Linked DNA regions of Mus musculus. The protein of the gene in region 3 interacts with the protein of the main gene of each other region in a pairwise test. Links are inferred from orthologs where the notes say so. Each region holds a gene or a part of one and is shown on either strand. Other genes may lie near its edges. The genes, in order: Ube2v1, Ubash3b, Fam168a, Ss18l1, Dtx2, Sf1 and Rbfox1.

Region 1 (3,500 bases), on a different chromosome or scaffold from region 3:
AGAGGGTCTGAGGAGCAACACTGAAACCTGAGTCTGCAGGGTCAGGGCCTCGTGCTCCAGCTGTCAGGCTCCACATCAGACCCGATGGGTGGCCAGGGTGACGAGAGCCCTGTTCAAACCTCTTCAATGTGTAAAAGCAAAGCAATGATGGGAAAAGGAACCAACTCAGAACCGTGTGCACTGAGGACTCCGCATGGCCTTTCTCTAGGCATCTTTTCACCAAGGACCCTGAGCGCTGGCCGGTCCGAGTCGCCCTGTGACTGCTGTTTACCTTAGACCTGAGCACAAAGCTCGAGGGCTGACGGTGGCAGCAGGGCTGAGGACCCGGCGCTCCCTTCCCAGGCTGGTGGCAGGTGAGTGTGGTCCGGAGCTAAGTGAGGGAGGCCAGGCAATTCCAACCTCATCTGATGGCTTCTGGCCACAGCAAGTGTTGGGTGGTGATGGGCAACAGGGGAGTTGAGGAGGGGAAGCAGCACCCCTTGATAAAGGTGGGGACACGGGAAGCCCTGAATTCCTCACCCGCGGCCAATTTCAGAGGGAGGGGAGGGTTACAATCTAAGCTTTGGCCAAGGGTGGGAGTGGAGGAGTGGGGACCATGGCTTGGATGGGGCATCACTTAAGACTTAAGAAGCAGGGGTGCAGCCAAAGCGCCCCAAGCCCAGCAGTAGTCAGTCCCACAACTGCTACCTGAAGCCTTCCCATCTATTCTAAGGGCCACCACACAGCTGTGGCGGAGGGCGGGGCGGGCAAAGGCAGACCCAGGCCAAGGGCCAGCAGCAGGTGATTGTGTGACGTGTCTGTTCACAGTTGCGTTAGCTGTGCCCACCGCTCCCACAGGAAACCGATTTCAACACCTTCTTGATCCCAGAAGTTCAACCAGGCAGACAGCGGTTACACTCAACAGTTGATGTTACACAGCACAACTTAGGTATTTCAAATGGACGAGAAGTTAGTATCAGAACAGTGTCTCAGGATGAAGGCTGAGTGGAGCTTCCTCTCCGGTACTTTGAGGTCTACAGATGTATCTAGAAAATTCACTACTGTGGAAAATGAAGACTTGGGTTGGATGGGGAGGGGAGGCCGGGGCCTTGGTGACTAATTGCTGTAACACTGTCCTTCCGGCGGCTGTGGCAGCTTCATGTTCTCTTTTGACATCATCAGGCGCCGCAGTTCCTGCAGGATGACTTTGATGCTGTGGGAGTTCTGCCACTTTGCCAGCACTGCCGTGGCTCTCGGATCCACCTGCGCAGAGGCAAATGCACACATTACTGTAGACTCAGCAGCAAAACCTTCCCGCCCTCCCCGGGGCTGATATGCCCAGCCCACAGGCCCATCAAACCCATGGGCTGGGCCAAGCTGCCCTCCTGCAGACAGTCTTGCCTCCTTTTTCTGGGTCCTGGCATGAAGAAAACTAGCAGAGCCTGAGGCACACAGGGAGACTTAACTTGGCCAAACTGGGCCCATCCTGACCAACAAGCACCTGGCGCCCATGCCCTGTCCTTTCTCCAATGTGTACCCAGGGTGGGGCAGGTAGCAAGAGCAGCCATGGTGCCCAGGTCTCTTAGGTCACTAAGGAGTTAGTGGCTCCGACACAGTAACACATAGGACAAGTGGCTCCAACACAGAACAACATAGGACAAGTGGCAGGAATGCTAATTTCTACTTCTCTGGCCCATCTTCTGAAGACTCCTAGGACAGGACAGGCACAGCGCCTCCAAGCCTCTAGCAAGCAAGACACAGATTGGGGATTTACAGCCGAGGTGTGGCCAGCCTGTGTAAGGCCTGAGCTCTACAGAGGGCTGCAGTTGTAGACAGCGCTGCAACCTTGACCTCTCAAGGTCAGGCCTTCAAGGCCATGGACAACGCTAATGCAGGGGCTCAGACAGAGGGCTGCCATGGGTGGAGGCCAGCCAGGGCTGCACAAGCAAACAGTATTAAAAAATATCCCATGGCAGGGGCCAGGACACAGGAGGTAAAGATATGGGAATAGTTCTGCCTCAGCCCCAACTTCCCAACTCTACCTCATGGTGCCATGGACACTGAACACTCTTTTTTTCTTGGTTTTTCTGTGTAGCCCTGGCTGTCCTGGAACTCACTCTGTAGACTAGGCTGTCCTTAAACTCAGAAATCCGTCTGCCTCTGCCTCCCAAGTGCTGGGATTAAAGGTGTGCGCCACCACGCCCGGCTGACAGCCAGTGCAGGGCTCCTGCAGTGACAAGCCACAATGGAGCGGCCCTGCCCAACGCTGCAGACACAAGCGCACCGTGATAACCTACAGGCAGGCAGTGGGGGACTCACCACTCCATTCGAACTGCTCACGCCGCTCATATTGACTCTTGTTACGAATCTTACAGACGGGGGTGCCTCTGGGTACTTAGGCCCACACTCTATCTTAAGGCTGTATATTCGGTTTTCATAGATTGTCTGGAAAAAAGGAATAGAGACAAGTTACAGAGACCTAAGAGAGGTACAGCTTCCAACACCTGGGAGACACCGTTGCCCCAGACTGCCTGTCGTGGGTGCCTCAGAGACGGAAGCACAGGACAGACACAGGAGGAAACTAGGGTTAAGTGTCAATGAGTCCGACCTGAGGCCACTTCTGTAGCATATGCCATCTGCCCTCAGAGCATTCTTTCTCTTATGTAGTCATGGTGACCTAAGATGCCACCAGCATCAAGTGAGTGAAGCAGAAGGCCAGGCAGCTGAGGCACCAGACCATCAGGGACAGCATCAACTCTGAAAGGTCAACTGTGTCTGGGCGTGATGGTACCCAGCTGTGACCCCACGAGCTGAGGATCATCCACAGGCACACAGTGACCTTGAAGGCCTTAGGAGTCTGGGCTATGAATATCACTATCGCGAATAAATGAAAACACCAACTGCTGAGGGCTGTGGGGATGGCTCAGAGGGTAAGGGGCTTGTCATGCAAGCTTGTCAAAGCAGAAGGAGGAAGACTACAAAAGGTGTCTGCTGACCTCTACCCACAGTTACAAAGCCAACCATCCAACCATCTCTTCACTGAGATACATAAGAAGACGGGCGTGGTGGCTCACGCCTTTAATCCCAGCATTTGGGAGGCAGAGGAAGATGGATTTCTGAGTTTGAGGCCAGCCTGGTCTACAGAGTGAGTTCCAGGACAGCCAGGGCTACACAGAGAAACCCTATCTCAAAAAAACCAAACCAAACCAACAAACAAAAAGAGACCCACAGGAAAGTGAGGCCCACACCAGCACCTGTAATGTTCAACAGCAAATTGTGCCTGGCCCAGCCCAATCATGTGTGGAACATCCACCCCGAGTGGAAACATCACACAGCCCTGAACACCTGGCTGCAAGCACCCTACTCTGTGACTGTGCCTAAAGACAACACTGCAGAGACCTTCCACATGGGACCTGTGCCCTGGACCAGGGGCCACGCCTCTTTATCAGGCAGGGGGCACCCTCTCCTTAGGAGTCTTGCACACAAAGCAGTTGCTCCTATGCACACAGTGACACCTACTG
Region 2 (3,500 bases), on a different chromosome or scaffold from region 3:
CCTTTCATCCCAGCATTTGGGAGGTAGAGGCAGGTGGATTTCTGTGAGTGTGAAGCCAATTTGGTCTATGCAGTGTGTTCCAGACCAATCAAGTCTACACAGTCAGACTATGTCTCAAAAAGTAAAAGAAAGGATGAATAAATGAATGAATGAATGAATAAGTCTTTCCACTTAACTGAAGAAACTAAAATGGTGATGGTGTGGAACACTCAACAACTCAGTTACTACAGAAAATATCTAGAAATCAGGCAAGATCGTCTCACTGCTTAAATGCAAAAGGAATCCTCTCTGTAAAAGTTATAAATCTTCTGTCCAGCCACAATCCATCTAAGACAGCTTAAAATCCTTAAGGAAAACATAGTAATATTCTCCCTTTATTTATCTGGATTATACTGTGTAAGGTTGTCACCTTGCAGAAGAAACCTCAATAAAAGTTCTAGATTTCTGCAAGCCATGGTGTCTCAAGCCAGTAGATCCTAGCATTCAGGAGGACGAGGCAGGAGGATTGCTGTAGGTTCAAGGATAACCTAGGCTACATGTCACCTTGAAACCCAGTCTCAAAAACAAACAAACAAACAAACAAAAAAACAAAGTAAACTTTCCGTTTTTGAAACCCCATAACCCTGCAGTAAGGGGCAGGAAGCAGAAGGATGGAGCATGTAACCTCTGTCCAGCCAAGAGCCTTACCTTTCAAAATATTATGTGCAGTCTGAACGCAGCGGAGGGATGGTGAGCAATACACGTGATCAATAACAGTATTACTTTCTAACAAGGCTTCACCTGCCGAGTAAATCAACAGACAATCAGCATGATGGTTGACTGATCATCCTGACCCTCACTGGAATGGTGTCAAGAGACCCATAATCCTCTCTTTCCCAGTAGGAGCTTGCAGAGAGCCTAGTAGTCAGGCCCTTCAATAGTGCATCCATGGAGAGGGCCAAACAACGGGCCTCTTCCTTTTCCTTTCCTTCTTACTGGTGCCAGCACACAGTAAAATGCCCTGTTAAGGGAGGCTACAAAGGATAATGCTCTGACCTCTACAAGGAAGATGCTAAAACCAGGGAGAGAACTGATACTGTAACAGTCAGACATGGCTACAATTCCAGTGTGCTAGCCCCAATCTCAGCTGTCCAAACCCAACATCCACTGCTCTGATGCTTTACTGTTTGTTTCCTTGTGTGGATCACTTCCTTTCTCTACAATGTAAACTTTAAGTATCTTCATGTGGTGTCAATGTCTTCCATGGACTTGCTCATCTTGCTAGCTCCTTCTCTTGACCTGCCTCAACCTCTGCTCTAAAACCAAGAAGAGCTCATATCCCCTGTACGCTTAATGCTACTTATTCTTACATATTTATGAAGGGGGGAGGAGAGGGAGAGAGAGAGAGAGAGAGAGAGGGAGGGAGAAGAAAAAGAAGAAGGAGGAGGAGGAGGAGGAGAAGGAGAAGGAGAAGGAGAAGGAGAAGGAGAAGGAGAAGGAGAAGGAGAAGAAGAAGAAGAAGAAGAAGAAGAAGAAGAAGAAGAAGAAGAAGAGGAGGAGGAGGAGGAGGAGGAGGAGGAGGAGGAGGAGGGGGAGGAGGGGGGGAGGGAGAGAGGGAGAGAGAGAGAGAGAGAGAAAGAGAAAGAAAGAGAGAGAGAGAGAGAGAACTCACTGACCATGTCTTGCAGGGATCTCTCAATGCTATGTCTGACCTCTGATTTTGTTTATTGCCCTCCACACCAAGAACCAGGCCCCTCTCCCTCTTCTTCACTCAGATGACTCTCACTGGAGGCCCCAGTTCACCCTGCCTCTTAATCATCCTTTCTTCCTCCTCCCTCCATCCCTCTCTTGTTTCATTCTACCCTTTGTCTTTCTTTAATATTCTTCATACACTCTGTGTAGAGTTTGCTATTTAGTCAGCCTTATAGTTTGATAGTCACCCACAACACATACGTGTGTTTCCATGGAACTTCACCCTTGAGTCTCTGTTACCTAGTCCAGGAACTTGCCCAAAGTAAATGATGACCTTAGAGTACAAGGCATGGTTTCTGCACAACTGTTAAAACCAGTACAGAAATACTTTCAAAGGACTGAACAGCTTCAAAACATCACTGGACAGATTCAGCAGTGCTCCTGCACCGCCTCCTTAGCCTCACATCTTCTTATACCACGCTGGCAGATGCTGCTGTCATGAGCTAGCAACATCTACTACACCAGTAAGTAAACCAAACCTGACTTTCCTTCCCTCATTCCTCAGCGGGGGACACATCTGCAACCAGCAGGAGCCTACCTGCAATCCCAGTCCTCAGATGGCTGAGCCAGGAACATCTGATGTTCTAGGGCAGCCTGGTCTATAAGACCCTGTCTCCAACCAAACAAACAAAAAGGCAAGTCCCACAAAGCGTGTTTGCACCCCCGCGGTGCAGCTCTGTTGAAGGAGCCAGAAGATGCTACGCAGTCACAGAGAGCCCTTACCCACTAGTCTTGCTTGCATACACCCAAACACAGTGATTGGAGCATCTTTCTCGTAATCCCGGAAACCGCCGCTCCTCTGAGGTAAACTGTGAGGCATGTTCAGGTTGGTGCGTATGTAGCGGCCTAGGGGGAGAAGATCAAATAAAGGCTATATAGTCTTCTGTTTACTCGAAACTTTCTTCTGTGATTCTGACCCCTCCTCCTCCTTGGTCAAAAGACACTAATCAAACCATCTGAGGGCAGTGGGGAATACTCAACCTGACACCTTTTCCTCAGAAGACGACATAGACTCCACTACCGCCTGCTGATGACGGAAACGAGGGGATTGCTCAGTAAATATAACAACTAGATAAAGGCAAGACTCCTAGTCTCAAAATGTCACTCGAGGGAGAACTGAACTGGATGGCCCCACGGTGATTTAAGGCAGGAATTCTGGCCACAGAGCCAGTTCATGTCTCTGAACTGATTCTGCTGTATGGGCGTAGGCAAGACACGGCTACTCTTTGCTCCTTGGTACCTCAGTTTATAGAATGGGGACAAGAATGCTTATCTCTCCCCTAAGAGTTGAAACAATCAAGAAGGACTCTGAGATTCCAGGCACTTTCTAACTACGTCAATAATGACTCATTGTACATAAAAGTAGCTTGACGGTGCCCCCTAGAGGCCGAGACAGGTATGCATTGCTGTGTAGGCCACCAACCACCAGCAGTCCTCCTTAGACACAGGAGATGCATCACAAGAGCCCCACTAGATGCCTGAAAGTGTAGACAGTGTGAAATCCTGAACACACTATGTTTTCACCCATCCAGACACCCCTATGATAACATTTAACTTATAAGTCAGTCACAGTAATGAGTGAGAATAAATGATATACTGTAATGTAAGTTACAGTCTTGCACAAAACATCTTATTGTATTATATACTCTGGCTTCTTATGAAAGGATGCTGTATCTATGTGATCAAGTGAGGAGAGGCAAATGGTACTGTGACACTCTGGTAGAAGACTTGAAAACCTGGGTGGTTTCAAACTTAGTAGGTGGGTAGCA
Region 3 (4,025 bases):
ACAGGGGAACGCCAGGGCCAAAAAGTGGGAGTGGGTGGGTAGGGGAGTGGGGGGGGGGTATTGGGGGACTTTTTGGATAGCATTGGAAATGTAAATGAGGAAAATACCTAATTAAAAAAAATTAATTCAAAAAAAAGACATTTCTAATTCCATGGATAATCCACCCTCTAAATGGGCATTTTTATGTGTTCGATTATAAATACCAAGAAAAATGCTTTGCTTTCTAGCTGAACACTAAAACGTTAACAGAAAAAAGAAAGTATTTTTAATTCCCATTGAGATCAATTTTATCTCCTTTCCATTTCTCCTCTTTTTTCCCTAGACTACACTCTAATCAACAGCCACGTCAAGTTTAACATATTAGAGTTAATGAAATTAAACCTGAAAACAGTCTTCCTGAAGACATACCCTCCTTACATTCCTCTGAGCCTTCCAACCCCAAGAATAAACTCATCGACAACCTTTACATCAAATTTCTGATGAACAGATGCAGTTATTCTCTTATGCAGTGTGCCTACATCAACAGCATCCTCTTAACAACAAAATATGGTTGCATGTTACACTTTTTATTCACACCTGACAGAATTCTGATCACCTGAATTTCTCTAGAAGAAAATTCAATTTGTAGAAACAGCCCAATTATTTAAAAGCTTATCATGTCAAGAGAATCGAATGAAAAATTCCATCAGTACCAAACCATCTCACCAAAGAATGAATATTTATTACATTTCTATATTTCCTGTCTTCTCTCTGTTTACATAAAGTGATGGTGCCAAGACTCATCTCAGGATTATTAGCCTGCAATACAATGATGGGCCTAATTGCCTTGCAAACCAGGACACCAATAAATGGAGACTTCAAGCAATCAATTTTATTGGGGGGAGGTGGGGCTTGCTAACCTCTTTCTGCATACATGCACCTTGCCTGCCTAGAAAATAAATTCAGTCTTCCTATTTTTCAGTCTCATTAATCAGTTCTCAAGCAAGAATGCACCCTTAACAACCTCAAGTTCATCAAAGTCTATTTAAATTCCAAATTCCGGGACTAGTTTCAGTTTACCAGGGGGAGGGGGAAAGGAGAAAGCAGAGACAGTTTCACCTTCTCCCACCTTTGCTTTGAGAGCCCCCAACTTTCCCTTTTTGACATAGGAACTGCAAGACTCCCCACTCTCCCTTAATTCTACCTTAAATGGCTCTCTCATAACTTTACCCTTGGGGCTGCTATTTCCAGACAATTCCAACGTAAAACAAAAAGGTCAAATTGATAGCATGAGATATCCTCTAGGAGAATCTTTAATGTACCTTCTCTGTCCCCTGTGAAGACCCTTCTAATGGTCTTGTTATTACTGTCTCTCACCCAAGCAGCTGATGTAAATGTTCTAACCCCTAAACCTCTGGTGTGTCTTGGAGGACATCTTAATCCTTCCTTTCCTAAATAAACTGACCCACTCCATCCCCGCTGCCACCTCACCACAGGTAACCAGCTTATCACAGACATTTCTTCTGCAAAACTGGCAGAGAGACATTTTCTTTATGATACCATCCACTAACCTTGCTCGACACCTGCCAGAATTATTTTAGTTGAGTCCAGCTGAGTAGTCTGACATATCCTCTACCTCCAACTTCCGCTCAGGGGAGCCACCTTGTTCCTTCCAGAGACTCTAAACTCATCCTAAATCCTTTTCCACTGAGCCCTCATCCCCAATTTCAATCCCTGTCTTCCTATTTGGGGCCCAACTTACAATTCACTCCCTCCTGTCAGCTTACCTCATCCATCCATCTCCTGTAGTTGGAGGTCTCATCACTACCAGTCCAAATTCAAACCTCCAGCAGCAGCCTACCTCAAGAAAACCCCAAACAATTCCTACCTCTTCTGTTCTCTCCAAGCCCTATTTCCGTAAGTATTCACAAATTCCATCATCCCCAGAAGACAACAGCCCATTTCAAGCTGGGGTCTCAACCCATGCCAAAGCCCTCACCCCCAGCTCCTACCATCTCCATCTTCCTTCCCCAGGTCCACCCCAAGTCCCACCTTCCAAAATTAGCACTCCCTAGAGTCCCATCCAACGTTTATATCCCACTGGCATTGAAATCATCTCCTTAGCCCCCACCCCGCTCTGATCACAAGCTGTCAACTGCTTCAGGCCAACCCCAAATCATCACCTTCATTCAGTCCCATCCCCCATTAAAAGACATCCCACTCCAATCTCACCTTCCACCTCGCCCCAAGACAATCCCAAATTCCACCTCAATACCCTACACACCCCATGCTCCTATCCCTGGTCTGGTTATCCCTCCATGTAAAGTCCTACCCCCTCACCCCCCTCCGCTACCCTCCCTGACCTGCTGCTGTCCCACCCTCACCCCACTCCCAGCCCGCGTACGGACAAGTCTCCCCCACCAGCCCGCCGTTCCATCGCCACCTCGGTCCCCTCCCCCAAGCCGGCGCGGGGGCCCTACAGCCCCCACCCTCGTTCTCCCCGGCGCCACCAGCCCTGGCTCCACGGGAGCGGGCCGGGGGGCGGAGGGGGGGTCTCCTCACCGGCGAGCTGCTGCAGACGAAAACCGCGGCGGCCGCAACTGAAGCGGCGATGCCCTTGTCTTCTCTGGAGGCTACAGCGGCGACGCTCTCGTTCCCTCGTCCGTGTCCAGTAGGGTGGTGGATGGCGCGCAGGGACGGGAGCCTCCTCCTCCTTCTCCTCAGCTACTCAGATCTGAATCCTCTGCAGTAGCCGCGGAGAAACCCGACAGTGGGGGAAGGGGACGCTCGGCTGCAGGCAAGAGAGGAGGAGGCGGAGGGAGGGGGCGGGGGACCGCTGAGAAGGGCGGGGGAGGAGGAGTCGGCGCGCTGTCCCGACACGTCCCACAGCCTCCGAGCTCTTGAACTACAACTCCCGGCATGCTCTGCCACGGCCCTGCGCGGCCTGGTTCTCCCAACCCTGCTCCGGTCCTGGACCGCACCCTCTTGGGTCACAGACAATGGACTCCCACGGGCTTTTGTAAACTCAAAGGCCTCTTGGGAGGGAAGTTGGATATTTCCGCAGCCTCATCTCCATGAAGCAAAACAACCTACACATGCACTCTTTTCCGCCCAAGGGACTACACCTCCCAGCATGCCGCACACAGTTTCCCATTCTCTCCTTCCGGACCCCTCTCAGACCCGGTACTACAGTTCCCAGGAGTGTGGTCCTTGCGAAATGCTGGGACATGCAGTTCTCAGTCCTTCCTCCATGTTAAGAAAAAAAGAAGTGAAAGAGAGAAAAAGGGGAAGGACTATTCCAACCCACTGAGCTTGGGCCTAGATTGGCTACATCACCTGTAATTCTGTACTCTCCTCGCCATCTCCGTTGTCACTGTCTCGCCAGAACTAATGCTGCATCAGCTTCCCTGGCATCCCTGAAAATCAGAGGACAAGTCTGCAACTTAAATCCTCATGTAAAAAGCACATTTGTTTACATTTACATTACTTATAAGTATTTAATCTAAAAAGATTATCAAAAATTTTTGGAAAACAATGCCCACGGTTATTATAGGAGGTTGTTGAATATGAGTTGAGAAGGATGTAGATATTCATCAATAGAGGGCTGATTTAATAAATAGTGATGTATGTATTCAACGTAATGCTAAGCAGCCATTTAAAATGATGGTAAATATCTTTAGACATGAAAGGCTTTTCACAATTTCTTGTCAGAGGGGCAAATTGATAGCAAAAACAGCAAGATTAGACAGGTTCGATTTATTTGAAGTTCGAGGATATAAAAGCGTAAAGATTTCAGTGAAGAGATTCTCCAAAATGTTATCAGTGATTATCTTAAAGAAAGAATTGTTAGGTTTCAGGTTCCTCTTATCTTTTATACTGTCTGAATTGTTTAAGGAAGCACACACCGTTTTTTAAACATAAAAGGTTATTTCATATGCATACACACACACACACACACACACACACACACACACATGCTTGCACGCACACACACAGATACAGCTATAGATATTCCAAATACAACAACCTCTTGATTTCCCACCTAC
Region 4 (3,500 bases), on a different chromosome or scaffold from region 3:
GACTAAGGTGAAGGCTCTGGAGAGGATTGCTAAAGTCCCCACATCTGTTTAGTTGTTATATTAGTGTGTGTGTGTGTGTGTGTGTGTGTGTGTGTGTGTGTGATCACCACAGATGGCAATACTCTGCCATGGAGCTGCAGTCCAGCCCAGGGAGACTTTCAACGCCTCATGGCCTGCCCGAGGCTGTTCTTTTCCTTTTTTTTTTTTTAAAGATTTACTTATATGTACATGAGTACACTATAGCTATAGCTGTCCAGATGGTTGTGAGCCTTCATGTGCTTGGTGGGAATTGAATTTAGGACCTCTGCTCGCTCTGGTTAACCCTATTTACTCAGGCCTTGCTTGCTCCGGCCCAAAGATTTATTTATTATAAATAAGTACACTGTAGCTGTCTTCAGATGCACCAGAAGAGGGTGTCTGATCTCATTAAGGGTGGTTTTGAGGCACCATGTGGTTGCTGGGATTTGAACTCAGGACCTTCAGAAGAGCAGTCAGTGCTCTTAACCACTGAGCCATCTCGCCAGCCCTGTTTTTCTTTCCTTCTGCACATATATTTGCACATCACTCTCATCAAGCAGAGGCCAGAAGAAGGAGTCAGATCTCCCCTGGGACTGGAGTTACAGTCAGCTGGGATCTACTACGTAGATACTGAGAACCAAACCCAGGTCCTCCGCAAGAGAATAAAGTTCTGTTAACAGCTGCACCATCTCTCCAGGACCCAATGTTGGTTTCTGATTGTGACCACTGTACAGGGATAAATGATGATCTTAGATACAGGGAGGCAGGTACTGGGTACATGGCAATCCTTTAAAACAACCCCCAACCTCTCCAGAGATCAATAGCCACACCAAAATAAGCCTACTCAACATCTGCCTAAACAGTTCCATCACAGTGTACGCGGCCCACGGCAGACACCAGAGGGTCCTCTGTGAGGAGACAGGCATCCCTCTTACCGTAGCCCTGCTGCTGCCCCGGGTAGCTCTGCTGGTTGGGATACTGTTGCTGGGAGTAGGTCTGCTGCTGTGCTGTGCCCTGCTGGTACCCAGCCTGCTGCTGACTGTACTGGGAGTTTCCTGCAGAAAGAAGGGGCACAGTTTCATTTCTGGGCAGTGCAGGAGGCTCCCTGTTACCCACAGGACAGTGAGTAGCCAAGGAATCCTTTCACCATGTCTCCAGAGGCAGTATGTTCCCATGATGGCTCAAATATCATATGGCTTTGTTTGTTGTTTTTTTTCGAGACAGGGTTTCTCTGTATAGCCCTAGCTGTCCTGGAACTCGATCTGTAGACCAGGCTGGCCTTGCACTCAGAAATCCTCCTGCCTGTGCCTCCCAAGTGCTGAGATTAAAGGCCACCACTGCTCAGCTCATATGGCATTTCTGTTTTAATATTTTATAAAATAAGATCGAAAAGCCAGATAATATAAAATGGGTGATGTAGCTGCTCAGGTGACAGTTCTGCGCACTGAATGATCAAGTTCCACCGCACACATCTGACTGTTAGTCGTCAAGGTCACTGGATTTACAACCACACAACCCAGTCTTGTCTGTGAAGGTGTTTCTTGAAAGGCTGAACCAAATGTATGTGACACCAAGTCATGGCCTGGGGTCCCTGAATGAACAGAGGAGAAAGGAGCTGAGACACCTTTTGTTCCCTCTGCTTCCCAACTGTGGATGCAACAGCTGTCGCAGGCTCCTGCCACCACGGACTGTACTTGAAACTTTAAACCAAAGTAAACCCTTCCTAAGTTTCTTCTGTCAGGTGTTTTGTCCCAGCAACAAGAAAAGTAAAATACAGCCTCCAAAGTTACCTTTACTTCCTAAGACATGAATGGGACCTTAGTCAGAAACAAGATCTTCAGTGGATGCCAAGCGTGAGGGTCTGCGTGAAGCCAGAGAAATCTGAGCAGATACACAGAGGCCACAGGACAATGCAGGTAGAGTCTGGAACATGTCTCTCCAAGCCAAGAGAGAGCCAGACTGATGGCAGGCAGCAGATGCTGGAGAGGCCTGGTGCAGACCTGCCCTGAGCTGGCAGAAGGTAGCTCTGAAGACACCTTGACCTCAGATCTCAGGCCTCCAGAGCTAGGAGGGGCGAAGGCCTGATGTCCCAAGATGCCCAACTGGTGCCCTGAGAGGCTGTACATCAAATGAGCAGAGCACAGCAGAGGCTTGAGAGGAGTGCTCTACCTACTAGGGGTTCCGTTTTGAAGGAATAAAATGTAAATAAGGTAGCTGGTGAGAATCGAGTCTGAAGGGCTCAGTGAGACCAAGCAGGCAGAGTCAAACCTGTGGGCTAAATCATATGACATGTGACATAACAGTGTCACATACACAGACACTCACCTCCATGTGGAGTTATTCTAAGAGAGACTATAGGTCAATTATTAAACATTTCACCGGGCAGTAGTAGCACAAGCCTTTAATCCCAGGACTCAGGGTTAGGGTTAGGGTTAGGAGGGAGGCAGAGGCAGGCAGACCTCTGAGTTCAAGGTCAGCCTGGTCTACAGATAGAGTTCCAGGACAACCAGGGATATACAGTGAAACCTGGTGTGGAAAAAACAAAAAAAACAACAAAAAAAAATCCAGGAGAAGCCGGGCATGGTGGCGCACGCCTTTAATTCCAGCACGAGGCAGAGGCAGAGGCAGGTGGATTTCTGAGTTCGAGGCCAGCCTGGTCTACAAAGTGAGCTCCAGGACAGTCAGGGCTACACAGAGAAACCCTGGCTCGAAAAACCAAAAAAAAAAAAAAAAATCCAGGAGAGATGGCTCAGAGGTTTAAGAGCAAGTGGCTACTCTCCCACAAGACCCAAATTTGGTTCTCAGAGTCCATTAGGTAGTTCACAACAACCTATAACTCTAGCTCCAGAGGATCTAACACCCTCTTCTGGTCTTTAAGGATGGCCCCAGTGAGGGTGCACATGGCCACACACACATTTTTTAAAATAATAAATATGTACTATGCATGTATGTATGTATGTACGCATGCGTGCTAAGTGCATGCTAAGTCCTATTGAGCCCCTGACTCTCAACTTGCTCAGGGACTGTGTCTCTCCTCTTACTTCCACATTCCATGGCATCCCATCAGTGATGATGCCTGTCAGCCAGGAGGAACACACACATTTACACCACGGAGGGGCAAATGCTATGAAGCAAGGCTTTCTGTCTCAGAGCCTCACAGCAACAGCACACAGCTGTCCCTCTCCCTCCCATTCCCACAGCACCATGAAGGTCTCCACACTGGGGCTACAAGCTCTTAAAAAAAGCAGCCATCCTACTAGCTCCTGGGCTATTAAGCTGGAAGAATGGCCATGTTTGTCTCCCAGCAGCAAAATCCCCAACATGGTCAAACTCTGCACTGTTTGCCAAATGCACGAGGCAAGTGAAGCCCTGCAGCGCAGCCCGCAAACCCAACTCCACAGACCTACACCAATGACGCGGCTGAGACGCGCTGGAGGCCAGCACTGCTAGGTCGAGGGGTGTAGTGTCTGAACCACTGTGCC
Region 5 (3,500 bases), on a different chromosome or scaffold from region 3:
ACAGTGAGAGCAGTCTTTGCCTCAGTTAGCCCAGTTAGTCTGGAGACTCGTGGATGTGTTCCTACTCCTGGTGATTCTGGAGCCTGCCAGGGTGACACAGTCCAAGGGCTGTGGGCAGCTGGTGGAAAGCATCTCCCTAGAGGCCAGATGATCACAAGCCAAGAGGGCACAGCCAGGCCAAGTGGCTCTAGCAAAGAGTCAAGGGAAGGCCCCAGGCTCTTGGAGCCAGCGCTGCTGGAACTACCTCCTGTTGCCACAGCTTGGCTGCACCTTGCCACATTCCTGTCTTTTCCTTCCCTGCTCCTGGCGTGGGAGACACCACTCAGGAGGCCCCTGGGCTGTTCTGCCCTTACTTTCTTAAAGCCACCATCCTTGTCCCTTACTCTGTCCCCGCATAGTGCGGGCACAGGCTTGGCTGTTGCTTGTGCAGACTCCTGGGGAACTTGGAGCCCAGGTTCTCTGGTGTCTGGCCTGGAGCACTGCACTGTGGTCTGGGAGGCACTGGTACCCTTCCTTGCAGTGGTCCGATCCCCTCTTCTGGGGAGATTGTGGTCTCAATGGCTGTGCACAGTGTCACCACTTCACTCTCAGCAGGGTCATGAACACCGAGTGTGAAATGCCTCCTTCTAACGTTTGTCCCCTCTGCATGTCTGATCTCGCACCCGTGCAGGCATGACGAGTGTGCTGTCAGCCATTGGACTCCCTGTGTGTCTTAGCCGTGCACCCCGGCCCACCGGCCCTCCCGCCTCCCGTCCGGCCTCTAAAAGTCACAGCTCAGTTAAGAGGCTGAGGAAAATGTCCGTAAAAGGTAGTTGTGGTTCACACACACTCTCAGCCCTGCTCAGCTTCCTCCACACCTTGCTGCCTGGACTCTCTTCTTTGCCCACCGTCCGTGACCCTTTTCTTCTGCATCTCTTCTCCCTGCCCTGTCTGCCAGCACAGGTGGCTACTGGCATTTTCCTGTCGGCATTGTTGGGTGATGGGCTTATCACCCAGGACAACTTTGCAGTGTTGGTGCAGATTGAGACACTGCTGTCTCTTCAGGGGGCCTCACCGACCTTGAACTTTGATCATCTTGCTGGCATCTCCCACCACGTCCGGTTCATGTAGCGTTGAGTTAGAACCCAGGGAGGGCTCGCTGCATGCCAGGCAAGCAGTCTACCAGCTAAACTAACAGTCCTAGTTGTCTGCACACACTTGTGTTCTGCCTCTGTGGAGGCAGCTTTGTGGGCTGGGCAGGCTGGCAGCTTTTTAGTATGGGGAAGCATACAGACACGTGGCCTTCTTGGGTGTAGCTGCCTCTCATGGGATTGATGTGGCTGGCCTGCCCACTTTGGGAAATGATGGTAACTGAAGCTCCTTTCAGCTCTTGAAAGCTGTGTGTGTGAGTGGGCAGCCACGTGCTTCGCTGGTCCCGAACAGAGGGAGGTCAGGAGCTAGTGCGGGAAGAGGGTTCCTGAGACCTGTAGCCACAGACCAGTTTTTGAGACAAACTATTGCTGTTTACCCAAGGTTCTTAAAGGCATTGTACCACCAGGCCTGACTGACTGGGCTCTTCTAAAAGGCTCCCTGATCCCCTCTATGGTAGCGATAGTACCCTTGGTCTTTTTGTCTGGTTTCTTTGCCAGTGGCCAGAATGTAAGTGTATGCAGGGATTGTGAGAGGTAGTGGTACGTGTGTGTGTGTGTCTCTCTGTGTGTGTCTGTGTGTGTCTTTGGTGAGGATAAGACATATGACGTATATAGTACCCTCTGCTGGTTTCTACATTCCCCAGGAGCTAACAGCTGATCCTCCTATCAGTGACAACTTGTACGGTCTCTGAGGTGGTCGAATTTGGTCATAACACATGAACTAGATCAAGCCTTCTGTCCCCTGACCCCACTTCTGTCCTGCCATGTGGCTGTCACCTGCCTTTCTAGCTGGAGGGTCTCATGGCCCAGCTCTTGGTTATAAACCTGTAGCCATGGCTGAGGGCTTCAAGATAGCCACAAACAGGAGCCCCGCTGTGCCCTCTGGTGGCAGGGTGGCCGTTTCATGCCCCCATTGTTCTCCCTGGTCCCTTCTCTAGCTTGGCTGAGACTCTTGAGACCCTGCTGTCCACTCTGTCCCAACTCCTTTGCTTCTTGGAGAGTTCTGGTCCCTAGCTCAGGGCTCCCCTAAGCCCCCACACACAGCCAGCCATTTCCAGGATCGCTCAGCTAACGAGCCCAGTGGGCTTGTGACCCAGATCCTCCAGTCCCAAGGTGGGGTGAGGTGCCAGCCAGCATTCTCAGTGCACACAGTACTCATGTGGCCCTTCCCACCGCCGCTAGACTGGAAACTACCTCTCTCACTGAAGTGTCCTCGGAAGTGCTGGCAGTGGACAGGCAGCACTGCCAGCGTCTCCTGGGGTGCTTTGCTCTCAGAACAAAAGTGTCTTTGACACTTCTGAGGTAGTTTCCTGGGGGACATGACTCAGGGGTACATGCTGGTCTGTTATGCATCCTTCGCTTCTGTGATCTCCCCTGGTGGCCCAGCCCCCTCTAAGCAGCTTGCCTGGGTCAGGTGTCCTGTGCTGACTCTCTTGTCTCAGCCCCGCTAACCTTTCCTCTCCGCAGCCGGAACTTCTGCCTGCCTGCCTGCCTGCTTCCTTCCTCCCTTAGCATTGCTCACCCCATCTTGCATGCCTGGGACAGCACTCACATCCCGTTCTCTTCCAGAAGGGGCGCCTAAGCCCGAGCCGGAGCAGGTGATCAGAAAGTACACCGAGGAGCTGAAAGTGGCCCCTGAAGAGGTATGTGTCCTGGGAGGGGATTCTGGTCCTCAGGGTCTTCCAGGGGCTGACACTGGGTCCAGCCTCTCATGGTTAGGTGGACATCGCTAAGATGAGGTGGCTGGAGCTCACTCTCACCTCATGGCAGAGCAGAGGGCGGAGGTCCTGAACAGTGTGCTTTCCCCTCCAGCTTGTCGGGTAGGCACAACTGTCGCTCTGCTCAGGAACAAGGTGGCCTTGTCTAAGGGATACCCTTTCCTCTCTGGCTCTTGTCTCTAGTAAGCACCATTGTGCTGTTGTTTTTGCCTCGTGGCCTGCGGGGTTTGGTCAGCTTTTCAAGGACGTAAGTGAGAGGTACCTATGTGGCCCTATGTTCTAGAATAGTCTCTGAGTTGACTTGATGGCCTAGCATCCCCTTCTTCTGACAGAGGCAGGACTTTGTACCTTGTGCTGGCTCACTGTGACCCATGCAGTGGGTCCAGTGGCAAGTGTGTGTCATGTGCTCCCTGCAGGACTGCATTATCTGTATGGAGAAACTGGCTGTGGCTTCTGGGTACAGTGACATGACTGACAGCAAGGCCCTCGGGCCCATGGTCGTGGGCCGCCTCACCAAGTGCAGCCATGCCTTCCACCTGCTGTGCCTGCTGGCCATGTATTGCAACGGGAACAAGGTACCACAGTTGGTCTGGGTGGAACTGCAGGGACCTGTCCCCATAGCCCTTTTGAACCTACTGCCTCAATATGGTGT
Region 6 (4,123 bases), on a different chromosome or scaffold from region 3:
TTCTACCACTCAATTGTATTTTCTGCCCAGACATTTGCTCTTTCTCTGTTCTATGGCCATTTCCTCCCTACCTGTCATAGTCTGTTGACTTGTACCATCCACCATACTTGAGTTTCTTATCTTTGTAGTCTCTTTATTCCTAGATTACTCCAAACCTTCTGTTGTCTACATGTCTACTTTTCTACATCATTTTAAAAGATTACTTAGTCTTATGTATATGGGTGTTTTGTCTGCATATAAGTCTGTGCACCATATATATGCAGTGCCTGTGAGGCCAGAAGAGGGTTCTGATATCCTGGGACTGAAGTTACGGATGGTTGTGAGTCACCATTTAGGTTCTAGGAATCCAACCTGGGACTCTGGAAGAGTAGCCAGTGCCTGGTCTTATCTGCTATTTCTCTAGCCACTCTAATTACATATTAAACACTGTTTCCCCTACTGGGTCTAAATAACCTCTCTGTGAGAACCCTATCTATCCCCAGTTCTATTATGTTGTGCTAACCTGTTTCATTACTCTCATGTTTATTTCATGGGAAGGAATGTTTGGCCTCAGTCTCATTTACAAGTTCCCTACCATTTTTATGGGTAATTTTAAGGTACCCGAAACAAATTTCCAACGCATTGAGATTTCCCTGGAAGTGCACACTTTTAGACTAACTTTTGAAATGACTTTCTCTCCCCTCTCCAAGAAGGACTTGGAGCGCCTGACTTTTCCTTTACAAGAGTTAGTATGTGCCATTGAACCTGGATTTTTTGAGACAGATATACTGTACCCCAGGTTAGCCCCAAACTCATGTCAGCTCTCCTGTCTCAGCCTTTCAAGTTCTCGGGTGACAGGCTACTTGGCTACCTTGTACCGGAATGAAATAAAGTCTTTAAATACACCCACCAACTACCCTAGTTTTGAGCCATTTCGTAACACTATTTTTCAGAGAAAACAGGAAGTCTTTCTCTACTCTACCTGCAGCTTCGACGTATCCTGTTCGTCAGCTCGAGCCCGCCCCTTCGCCGCGGTCCCTAGTTACCTCTAGCACAATGACTAACGTCACTTAAGGCCTCCGTTCCGCCCCTCTGGGGAAGGGGGCGGGGACACGCGTGCCCTCCCTACGCATGCGCACCCCTGCTCTCCGCCTTGGTTCCGGCTTCTCCTCCCGGCTTTCTCCATTCTCGAGCGGCTGGCTCCTGGGGGAGGGGAATCGTTTCAGCCAATCGTGTGGCACTACGACGCCGAGGCGCTTACCTCCATCGGTTTCAGCCAATGAGCTAGCCGTTCTCTCACGTCACAGACTTTGCCCCCTCCTATTCCCCTGCCACTCTGGCCTCAGTCCGCGCAGTAACAAGGAGTGCGCGCTGCGACACCTCCCAGTTCCCCCGGCCCCGCCGCCATTTCGTCGCCGGGCCTAACGGTTCGGCCAATCCCGACCCATATTGAAAAGAGCCAGTGCTCCACCAATCGGAGGCCGCTGCCTCCGACCTCACCTCGGGCCGGCCCAATCCAGGCCGCGGCCCCTCCGCCCCGAGCCCGCCCCCGCGGCGTCCTTTCTCCTCCCTCTTTGTGCGTCTGGCGCCGCCGCCGCCCGCCGCGTGAGAGGACGGGCTCCCCGCGCTCTTCAGCCGCGTAGTCGGGTCCCCTCCCCCCCACCTCCAGCTCCCGGAAGGTTCGTGAAGGAGAAGTCGCCGCGGAGGACGAGGAACCGCTGCTGCCGGTCCCCTGGGGCGCCATGGCGACCGGAGCGAACGCCACGCCGCTGGGTAAGCTGGGCCTACCAGGCCTTTCCCCACTTCCTGGGCCCAGAGGCAGCTTCAAGCCCAGCCTATTGGCGCTCGGGACGCCGCTGCCGGGGGCCCTAACCACGGCCTTGTCCTTAGCGGCGGTGCCGTCACCGCCGCCGCCCCCGGCCTCGTACCCGCCATAGCAGCCGCCCCCGCGCCGCCGCCGCTCTTTTCAGCGAGGGTCGCCTCCGCGCCAGGACCAGCAGCCGGGCCAGCCCGGTGGCGGCGGAGGTGAGTCGGGCCGATAGAGCGCGAGAGTCGTCGGGCGAACCGAACCGGCCGACGGAGGGGCAACGCCACCGCGGTTGGACGCGGCGAGGACGCGCGCGCGCGCACGGGAGGCCCGGGCGGACGCGCCACGGGGAACGCGCGGCCTGGTTTGGGAGGCTTCGATTGCGCACGCGCACCGCGAGAACCAGAAGGGCGGGAGGAAGCGTTCTTCGCGCAGACGCAGTGAGGCGTTCAGGCTTTGTGGCGCAATTGTGGTAGTTTTGGAAGAAGCCACCTGTTGCCCCCTGAGCTCCTGCTATGGAGGACAGGAGAGTCAGGTCCACGGGACGACGTGGTGTGAGTGGCTCCCTTGATGGTTTTTAGCAGCCCCGTGGCAGGAGTGTCTCCTTTCACAGTGAGGCGAGTTCGGAAGGCTACTAGGGATGCTTGAGTTCGATCATTTATTAAAGGTTTTCTCCTTTTGTTTTCTAGAAGGTTCTCAGAGTGACCAGCTTTCCCCGTGCTGTTTTAAAAGGCTTTTTCTCTGGGCCTGTAATCTGAGAAGTAGAAAACCTTGTGTGGTAAATGTAGGGAAGAATGTAATAAATCAGAGTTCTGATGACAAGTGTCCACTGGTCAGGAAAACTGATCTTTCCACGAGTAAGAATGGTCATATTGAAGGATGGCATGTTTCCCACAGTAATGTGTAGCAAGAGATTTGTTGTGTACTCTTGTAGCTTGAGTTCCAATGCTTTGTGGGCCTCATTCCAGTTTCCTCTTTTCTGCCCTTTAAGGCATTCAGAATTGATAATATGTATCTGTACACTTCTGATTCTGGGTTTCTGTGCATTAAGTCTTGGAAGCAAGGGCATGATGGTTCATGCTTTTAATCCTAGCACTCTGGAGGCAGAGGAAGGTGGGGCTTTGAGTTTGATGCCAGTCTACATAGTTTAAGACTGCCAGGGTTCTCTAAAGGGACTTCTGTCTCAAAAAACAAACAAAAGATCCAAAGAGTTGGAGATATGCATCAGTGGTAGAGCTCTTACCCAATATATGCAAAAACTCTGATGTTAACACTACAAAAGAAATGTGTTCCTTGTTACATTCTCTAGTATTTTCGTTTTAAAAGAACTAAATGTGAACTGTTCCTTAACTTTCCTGACAGGAGGATCTTTAAAATGGCTGCTTGTTTTCTCTGACCTCTGAGATTTCTTTCTTTTTAAAAATTTAGGTGATTTCAGTTTAGTTTTAATTATCATGAACTGCTTGCCTTCTGGTTCATATTTCTGCCTGATGGGCTCTGTCTGTCTTTAGACTTCCCAAGTAAGAAGAGGAAGAGGAGCCGATGGAACCAAGACACAATGGAGCAGAAGACAGTGATTCCAGGCATGCCTACAGTTATACCCCCTGGACTGACTCGGGAACAGGAAAGAGCTTACATAGGTAAATACACGTTCTACATCCAGGTGCATCTTCAGATTGTTACTGCAGATTGTTCTGAGTGATGAACCTGTTGAAAGTCTTAAGATTTTAGTCATGGGAACAAGGTGTGATGAGCTATGCTTTCATAGCTGTGTAATCCGTGATTTGCTTGGCCAGTCCTGCATTTGCAGCTTCTTGTTTGGGCCTGCTCTTAGCTCGGCAGCCCCCTTCTCAGCTGCTGTTCTTGCTCATTGGTGAGGTGAATGCTATCTTCCTCTCTGGACAGGCCCCAGTGGAGAACACTGCAGGTATTGTAAACCAGTTGCTTTTTTGTAGCATGGCCTTTCACCATAATGTCATGGTTCCCTTTCCCTAAAATTGTGGTTTCGTTTTTTTATAGGTACAAAATAGTTTAAGCAAAAAGTGGCTCGGAAAGCATTTATAGTTTACCCATTTTGTTGAATTTAATCCTTCCCTTCAGTATCCTTTCTTGTTCCATCTTTAGAGAGCTGTCTTAAAACAGGCTCTTGTAATTTACCACTAAAGGACTCTGCTGGGAAGGGTTTACTGTTTGATTTGAAATGAAGTGGTGGCAGAATTTAAAAAATTAGGTTACTGTCCACAGTAGAATTAAACCTCAAAATTACTTAAAATCCAAGGTCATAATAAATGGAAGTTTTATATCTGTCCTGCTGTCTCAAAAAGTGCACTTGATAAA
Region 7 (4,116 bases), on a different chromosome or scaffold from region 3:
GTGACACTGGTTTTCCAGAGAAACAGAAAGTAGGAATGGAAATCCCATGTTAACTATGGGACTGACTTTAAAGAAGAGGCCATGAGAGGGACCTCACTAGACACGTAAGGACACATCTGTAGGTACTGACTGTAGCATGAGTCAGGTACTCTCTTAAAACTTAAAAAAAATGCAAATTATTTTTTCTTTAACTGCAGAAAAATTAAGCCACACTGGCCTGAATTTCAAAAGTGTCTCAGGCAGCAATTCAAAAAGGAACATCTTTGGCCACAGAACTGTTGGCTGTTGAGTTTAGAAAGACTGTGAAATTGTGAACAGCATCTCAAGCAGCTCGCCAGTGGCCCTTGCACATAACCATTCATGCTGTTCCCAACTATGCAGGCACAAGGGATCCTAGCAAAGATGAGTCCATAGTCCTCTTCATTTTCTTGTCTTGCTGGAATCACTAAGTTGCTAAAGAAATCTGAATCCTGGCAAAAGGGCCTTTATTCCTGACTCGGGGTGAAACTCCTCAAGCTAAGGGCCAAGGTAGCTAGGGCAGGAAGTGCAAGCTGAAAGGTAAAGAGGCACTAGAATTTCCTACCTATTCTATCATACCACATCCTTTCCTTAAGAACAAAACTGCAATGGGAGGGGGTTTAGTTTCTTTGAGCCTCCACAAAGCAGCAAGAAGGCTAGCACCTTCATGTGCACAGCCTTGCAGTGTGCTCTGTGTGGAGGAGAGGGGAAGGGTGCAGTGGGTCCCAGTAGCTCATCGGAGGCTCCTCACTGACACACACAGAAGGACTTGTAGGTCACTAGTTCAGAAGTTTCCTTTTGGGAAACAAATGAGAATGGATCAGGTTAACATTTGCAAGTAAAATAACTTGCTCCATTCCACACTAACCAGTTATGTTTCTTGAACATTTTGCCAAAGAGGAAGAAATAGTGCCTTCCCAGCTTTGCAGTTGGTTCTAGCGTCTTCTCATCTATCATTGGGGTAATACGTTCAGAGTGGCATTTTGTAATGACAGAAACATCCCAGCAAATCGATAGTTATTTAATTCCCAACAAGCTCTCGAGTCCATTAAACCTGATTACATTCACCCATTTCTGTGGGTGCCGTTATTCTCCTGCACCAGCACTTAATCTATAACAGGAACTTATGAGAACTTTCAAAAGCAATTTCAGCATCAATCAGCACGGACTGAAATGAGCGATTTGCTTGTAATTATTTATCGGATAGGGCAGCACAGGGGCCGACAAAACTCCAGCCTTTGACCTTCACCCCAAATTTCCAACAGAAGCCAAAAGCACTGTTACTCTGCTTCACCTTCAAGTCCTAAGTTTCATGTCACCATCTGGCCACAAGTTCCCTTCCTTGGTGCCAGGGCCATTCTCTGCTGGTCTATTTACCTATAACATAGAAGTGTAGCAATAGTATCCATACATCTAGGGTAATTGGCAGTTCTGATGCTATCGGGATTGACGTCTGGGTGCATTCTGCCACCCAGCTTCTGACAGTTAATAGAAGGTCACAGTCACAGTCACAGTCAAAGAATAAAAAGAATATTTGTTCAATCCTCCACAGAAGTCGTCATTAATGAATTAGAGTTTTGTAGAACTCTCAGAGAGGGCTGGGTGGGAGTGGGGCTACAGGAAAAAAAGCTAAAGTGTTGTACTGCATATATTTAATTTTCCTTTCCCATAGAAAGGAGATTTAGGATTTATTACTTAGGGTTGCTTATTTCTAAAGAACAGCAACAAATAGCCACTTGCTTCCTACAATGACCCACTTCTATCACAAGTGGATGTTGGCTTCCCAGAGAACTGCAGGCGTACACCCAGAAGCAGTGGGTTTGAGTGACAGCAAGGAGGTACAATAAGGCAAAGAAACAGGTCCAATTTCTCGCTAGCACACAAACCTCTCGGTACACAGAATAATAGCCTTAGCAGTCAAAACAACAGGCATCCTAACTTCTCCCCAGCTGCCGAGAATACAAACAGTTGGCATCGAATTTGCAGAATAACCTCTGAACTTCCTAGCGAGACCATTCTCAGTGTACCCTCTTGTTTGTGGGTCGCCTCTCAGATTTGCAAGGGGAAGCTTCTCTGCAAACAACAACCTGTGTGGGGTGTCCTCAGCAGCACTCTGTATTTCCTGCCCTTCTGTTTCCGGGGTTAAAGCCTTTAAGCAAGCCATATCATGATAAGTTACTGAGCCTCATGATCTGCTCTGGGAGACCCAGTCCCTCAGAAAGCTAGGGAAGAGAGCAAATCTTTTGCCCCCTGGTCAACCTCCCGAAGCAAAGGCATGAATGTTAAACAGCACCCAGATCAATACAAGCAAATACAGCTCAACTACACCATTTATTCATCCATGAGAGATGTCAATAGCCAGATTAAGGTGATCCATCTTTTTGATTTCCTACTGTCTTTCCTTTGACTACACGAGGGCTTTTTTTTCTCTTCCTGTATTAAAAGTGTTTGCTTTCTCAACCATAAAAATTCCAATTATTACTTAGAGCATTCTGGAGTTAAGTTGCTTGCTGGCAAAAGCCATGAATTACCTGCATCAGTCCCGGGAAGTAGGGGGCAGCAGGCACAATCATGGGCACGCCATAAGAATGCAGAAGGACTCCTTGCGACGCCAACATGCTTTAAATGGAGGCTTTATTCCCTCCAAGGCTGAACACATCAATAGAGAGTTAGAGGGGGAAAGAAATCTATAGACCCAACTTCTTCTCAACTACAAAGCCGAGAGCCAAATCACTTCTGTCAGGAGCCAAGTGCTCATCCACAGGCAGCGGAGAGGGAAAGGAAACAAAACCCTGCATCAGCAACTCTTAATGTGAAAGTTTTCTTCCCAGACAAGGAAGGGACGCGGCAGCTGCAGGGTCGGTCGGAGCTACCAAAATGGAAGGAGCTATTTTGGGAGCAGCTCGCCCAACATGACTAACCAAATACTCTTCATTAATTTAGTTCTCAGACCAAGGGAGATGGAGTGACAGGGAATCAGGCGAAAAGAGAAGGCATTTGTCCTGAGGAACTGGGCCAAATTGCAAGGGGCTGGGTCTGCATGAGATTTTTAGAGAGAATAAGTAATAGAAATGTGTAAGCTTACATGACAATCAGTTGCAACTTAAAGAACTTAAACATTTACCCACATAAAAATCATCACCAGAGCCTAGACTTCAGTTCTAAATTGCAACTGGTTGTTATGTGAGTTTGTATACTACCATATAAGCCTGAGGACTGGAATTTGGATCTCCAGTGCCTATGTAAGAAATCAGGCAATGTGTCACACATTCCTAGCACTGGGAAAACAGAGACAGGAGAATGCAGGGTCTCAACTGTCGAGCCAGCATAGCCAAACAGAAACTTCCATGTACAGTGGTTTAGTGGAAGACCCTCTCTCAAAGCGTAAGTAAAAAGCAATAAAGAAAGATACCTGGAGGTCACCCTTTGAACACAGCACATACATTTTCACACCTATACCCATTCCGCCACAGTTATGAACAAAACCAAAAACAACCAAACAAATAAGAACAACAACAACCATAACAACAACACTCAAATCTAGCAGGTTCATGTGGGTAGCTGATCAAAAATTATCTAAGAATACTCAGTATGTGGTGGATAGCCTCTATAATCCTAGAACTCAGAAAGTTGGTATAGAAAAATTGGGAGCTCAGCTGTATAGCAAACTTAAGGCCAGCCTGAGCTACATGAAACTGTCTCAAAACAGTGGGCTCACTTTCCACCCCTTCTTCACCCAATTTCAGTTTGAAAAGGCAATTCATGAGTAACAAAATAATAGCTGAAATCTGAGTAAATTAGCTTTGTGGGTTATTGAGCTCCATTCTTCCACATCTCGGATGCAGGGGCTAATTCCCAGACCCAGGAAGCAAAGTGGTACCCAACAGGAATCCAGACTCACACTAGGCAGCCACTTTGCAGCTAGTAGGAAGCAGTGTTGAGTTTAAACCGCCCCCCCACACACACACAATCACTAGGTAAGTTGTCTAGCTGGCATTGCACTGTGAGATGTGATCTAGAAATGTGCCACAGAGTAGGTGCAGACTTGCTGGTGCTGTGTTTCATCTGTGAAGGGATTTTATATAGCTGGTATGTGTA

Evidence for each region.
Region 1: the proteins of Fam168a (region 3) and Ube2v1 interact in binary tests that used the Homo sapiens proteins (3 or more experiments, as listed by UniProt). The two-hybrid records come from large-scale screens. The link is inferred for Mus musculus from reciprocal best matches to the Homo sapiens genes FAM168A and UBE2V1.
Region 2: the proteins of Fam168a (region 3) and Ubash3b interact in binary tests that used the Homo sapiens proteins (3 or more experiments, as listed by UniProt). The two-hybrid records come from large-scale screens. The link is inferred for Mus musculus from reciprocal best matches to the Homo sapiens genes FAM168A and UBASH3B.
Region 4: the proteins of Fam168a (region 3) and Ss18l1 interact in binary tests that used the Homo sapiens proteins (3 or more experiments, as listed by UniProt). The two-hybrid records come from large-scale screens. The link is inferred for Mus musculus from reciprocal best matches to the Homo sapiens genes FAM168A and SS18L1.
Region 5: the proteins of Fam168a (region 3) and Dtx2 interact in binary tests that used the Homo sapiens proteins (3 or more experiments, as listed by UniProt). The two-hybrid records come from large-scale screens. The link is inferred for Mus musculus from reciprocal best matches to the Homo sapiens genes FAM168A and DTX2.
Region 6: the proteins of Fam168a (region 3) and Sf1 interact in binary tests that used the Homo sapiens proteins (3 or more experiments, as listed by UniProt). The two-hybrid records come from large-scale screens. The link is inferred for Mus musculus from reciprocal best matches to the Homo sapiens genes FAM168A and SF1.
Region 7: the proteins of Fam168a (region 3) and Rbfox1 interact in binary tests that used the Homo sapiens proteins (3 or more experiments, as listed by UniProt). The link is inferred for Mus musculus from reciprocal best matches to the Homo sapiens genes FAM168A and RBFOX1.

What each region holds. Positions count from the first base shown.
Region 1 is NC_000068.7:167,608,006-167,611,505, forward strand, and holds part of Ube2v1 (ubiquitin-conjugating enzyme E2 variant 1), read right to left. Parts: intron 2,425-3,500; coding exon 2,299-2,424; intron 1,243-2,298; coding exon 1,096-1,242; 3' UTR 1-1,095. UniProt on the Homo sapiens protein: Has no ubiquitin ligase activity on its own. The UBE2V1-UBE2N heterodimer catalyzes the synthesis of non-canonical poly-ubiquitin chains that are linked through Lys-63.
Region 2 is NC_000075.6:41,025,563-41,029,062, forward strand, and holds part of Ubash3b (ubiquitin-associated and SH3 domain-containing protein B), read right to left. Parts: intron 2,578-3,500; coding exon 2,455-2,577; intron 781-2,454; coding exon 688-780; intron 1-687. UniProt on the Homo sapiens protein: Interferes with CBL-mediated down-regulation and degradation of receptor-type tyrosine kinases. Promotes accumulation of activated target receptors, such as T-cell receptors and EGFR, on the cell surface.
Region 3 is NC_000073.6:100,705,410-100,709,434, reverse strand, and holds the start of Fam168a (protein FAM168A), read right to left. Parts: upstream 2,801-4,025; 5' UTR 2,542-2,800; intron 2,303-2,541; exon of another isoform or gene 1,776-2,302; coding exon of another isoform or gene 1,767-1,775; intron 1-1,766.
Region 4 is NC_000068.7:180,059,483-180,062,982, reverse strand, and holds part of Ss18l1 (calcium-responsive transactivator), read right to left. Parts: intron 1,074-3,500; coding exon 954-1,073; intron 1-953. UniProt on the Homo sapiens protein: Transcriptional activator which is required for calcium-dependent dendritic growth and branching in cortical neurons. Recruits CREB-binding protein (CREBBP) to nuclear bodies.
Region 5 is NC_000071.6:136,025,800-136,029,299, forward strand, and holds part of Dtx2 (probable E3 ubiquitin-protein ligase DTX2), read left to right. Parts: intron 1-670; coding exon 671-808; intron 809-2,699; coding exon 2,700-2,773; intron 2,774-3,264; coding exon 3,265-3,423; intron 3,424-3,500. UniProt on the Homo sapiens protein: Regulator of Notch signaling, a signaling pathway involved in cell-cell communications that regulates a broad spectrum of cell-fate determinations.
Region 6 is NC_000085.6:6,362,367-6,366,489, forward strand, and holds the start of Sf1 (splicing factor 1), read left to right. Parts: upstream 1-1,323; 5' UTR 1,324-1,721; coding exon 1,722-1,752; intron 1,753-2,153; exon of another isoform or gene 2,154-2,340; intron 2,341-3,297; coding exon 3,298-3,426; intron 3,427-4,123. UniProt on the Homo sapiens protein: Necessary for the ATP-dependent first step of spliceosome assembly. Binds to the intron branch point sequence (BPS) 5'-UACUAAC-3' of the pre-mRNA. May act as transcription repressor.
Region 7 is NC_000082.6:7,068,519-7,072,634, reverse strand, and holds the start of Rbfox1 (RNA binding protein fox-1 homolog 1), read right to left. Parts: upstream 2,801-4,116; 5' UTR 2,637-2,800; coding exon 2,550-2,636; intron 1-2,549. UniProt on the Homo sapiens protein: RNA-binding protein that regulates alternative splicing events by binding to 5'-UGCAUGU-3' elements. Regulates alternative splicing of tissue-specific exons and of differentially spliced exons during erythropoiesis.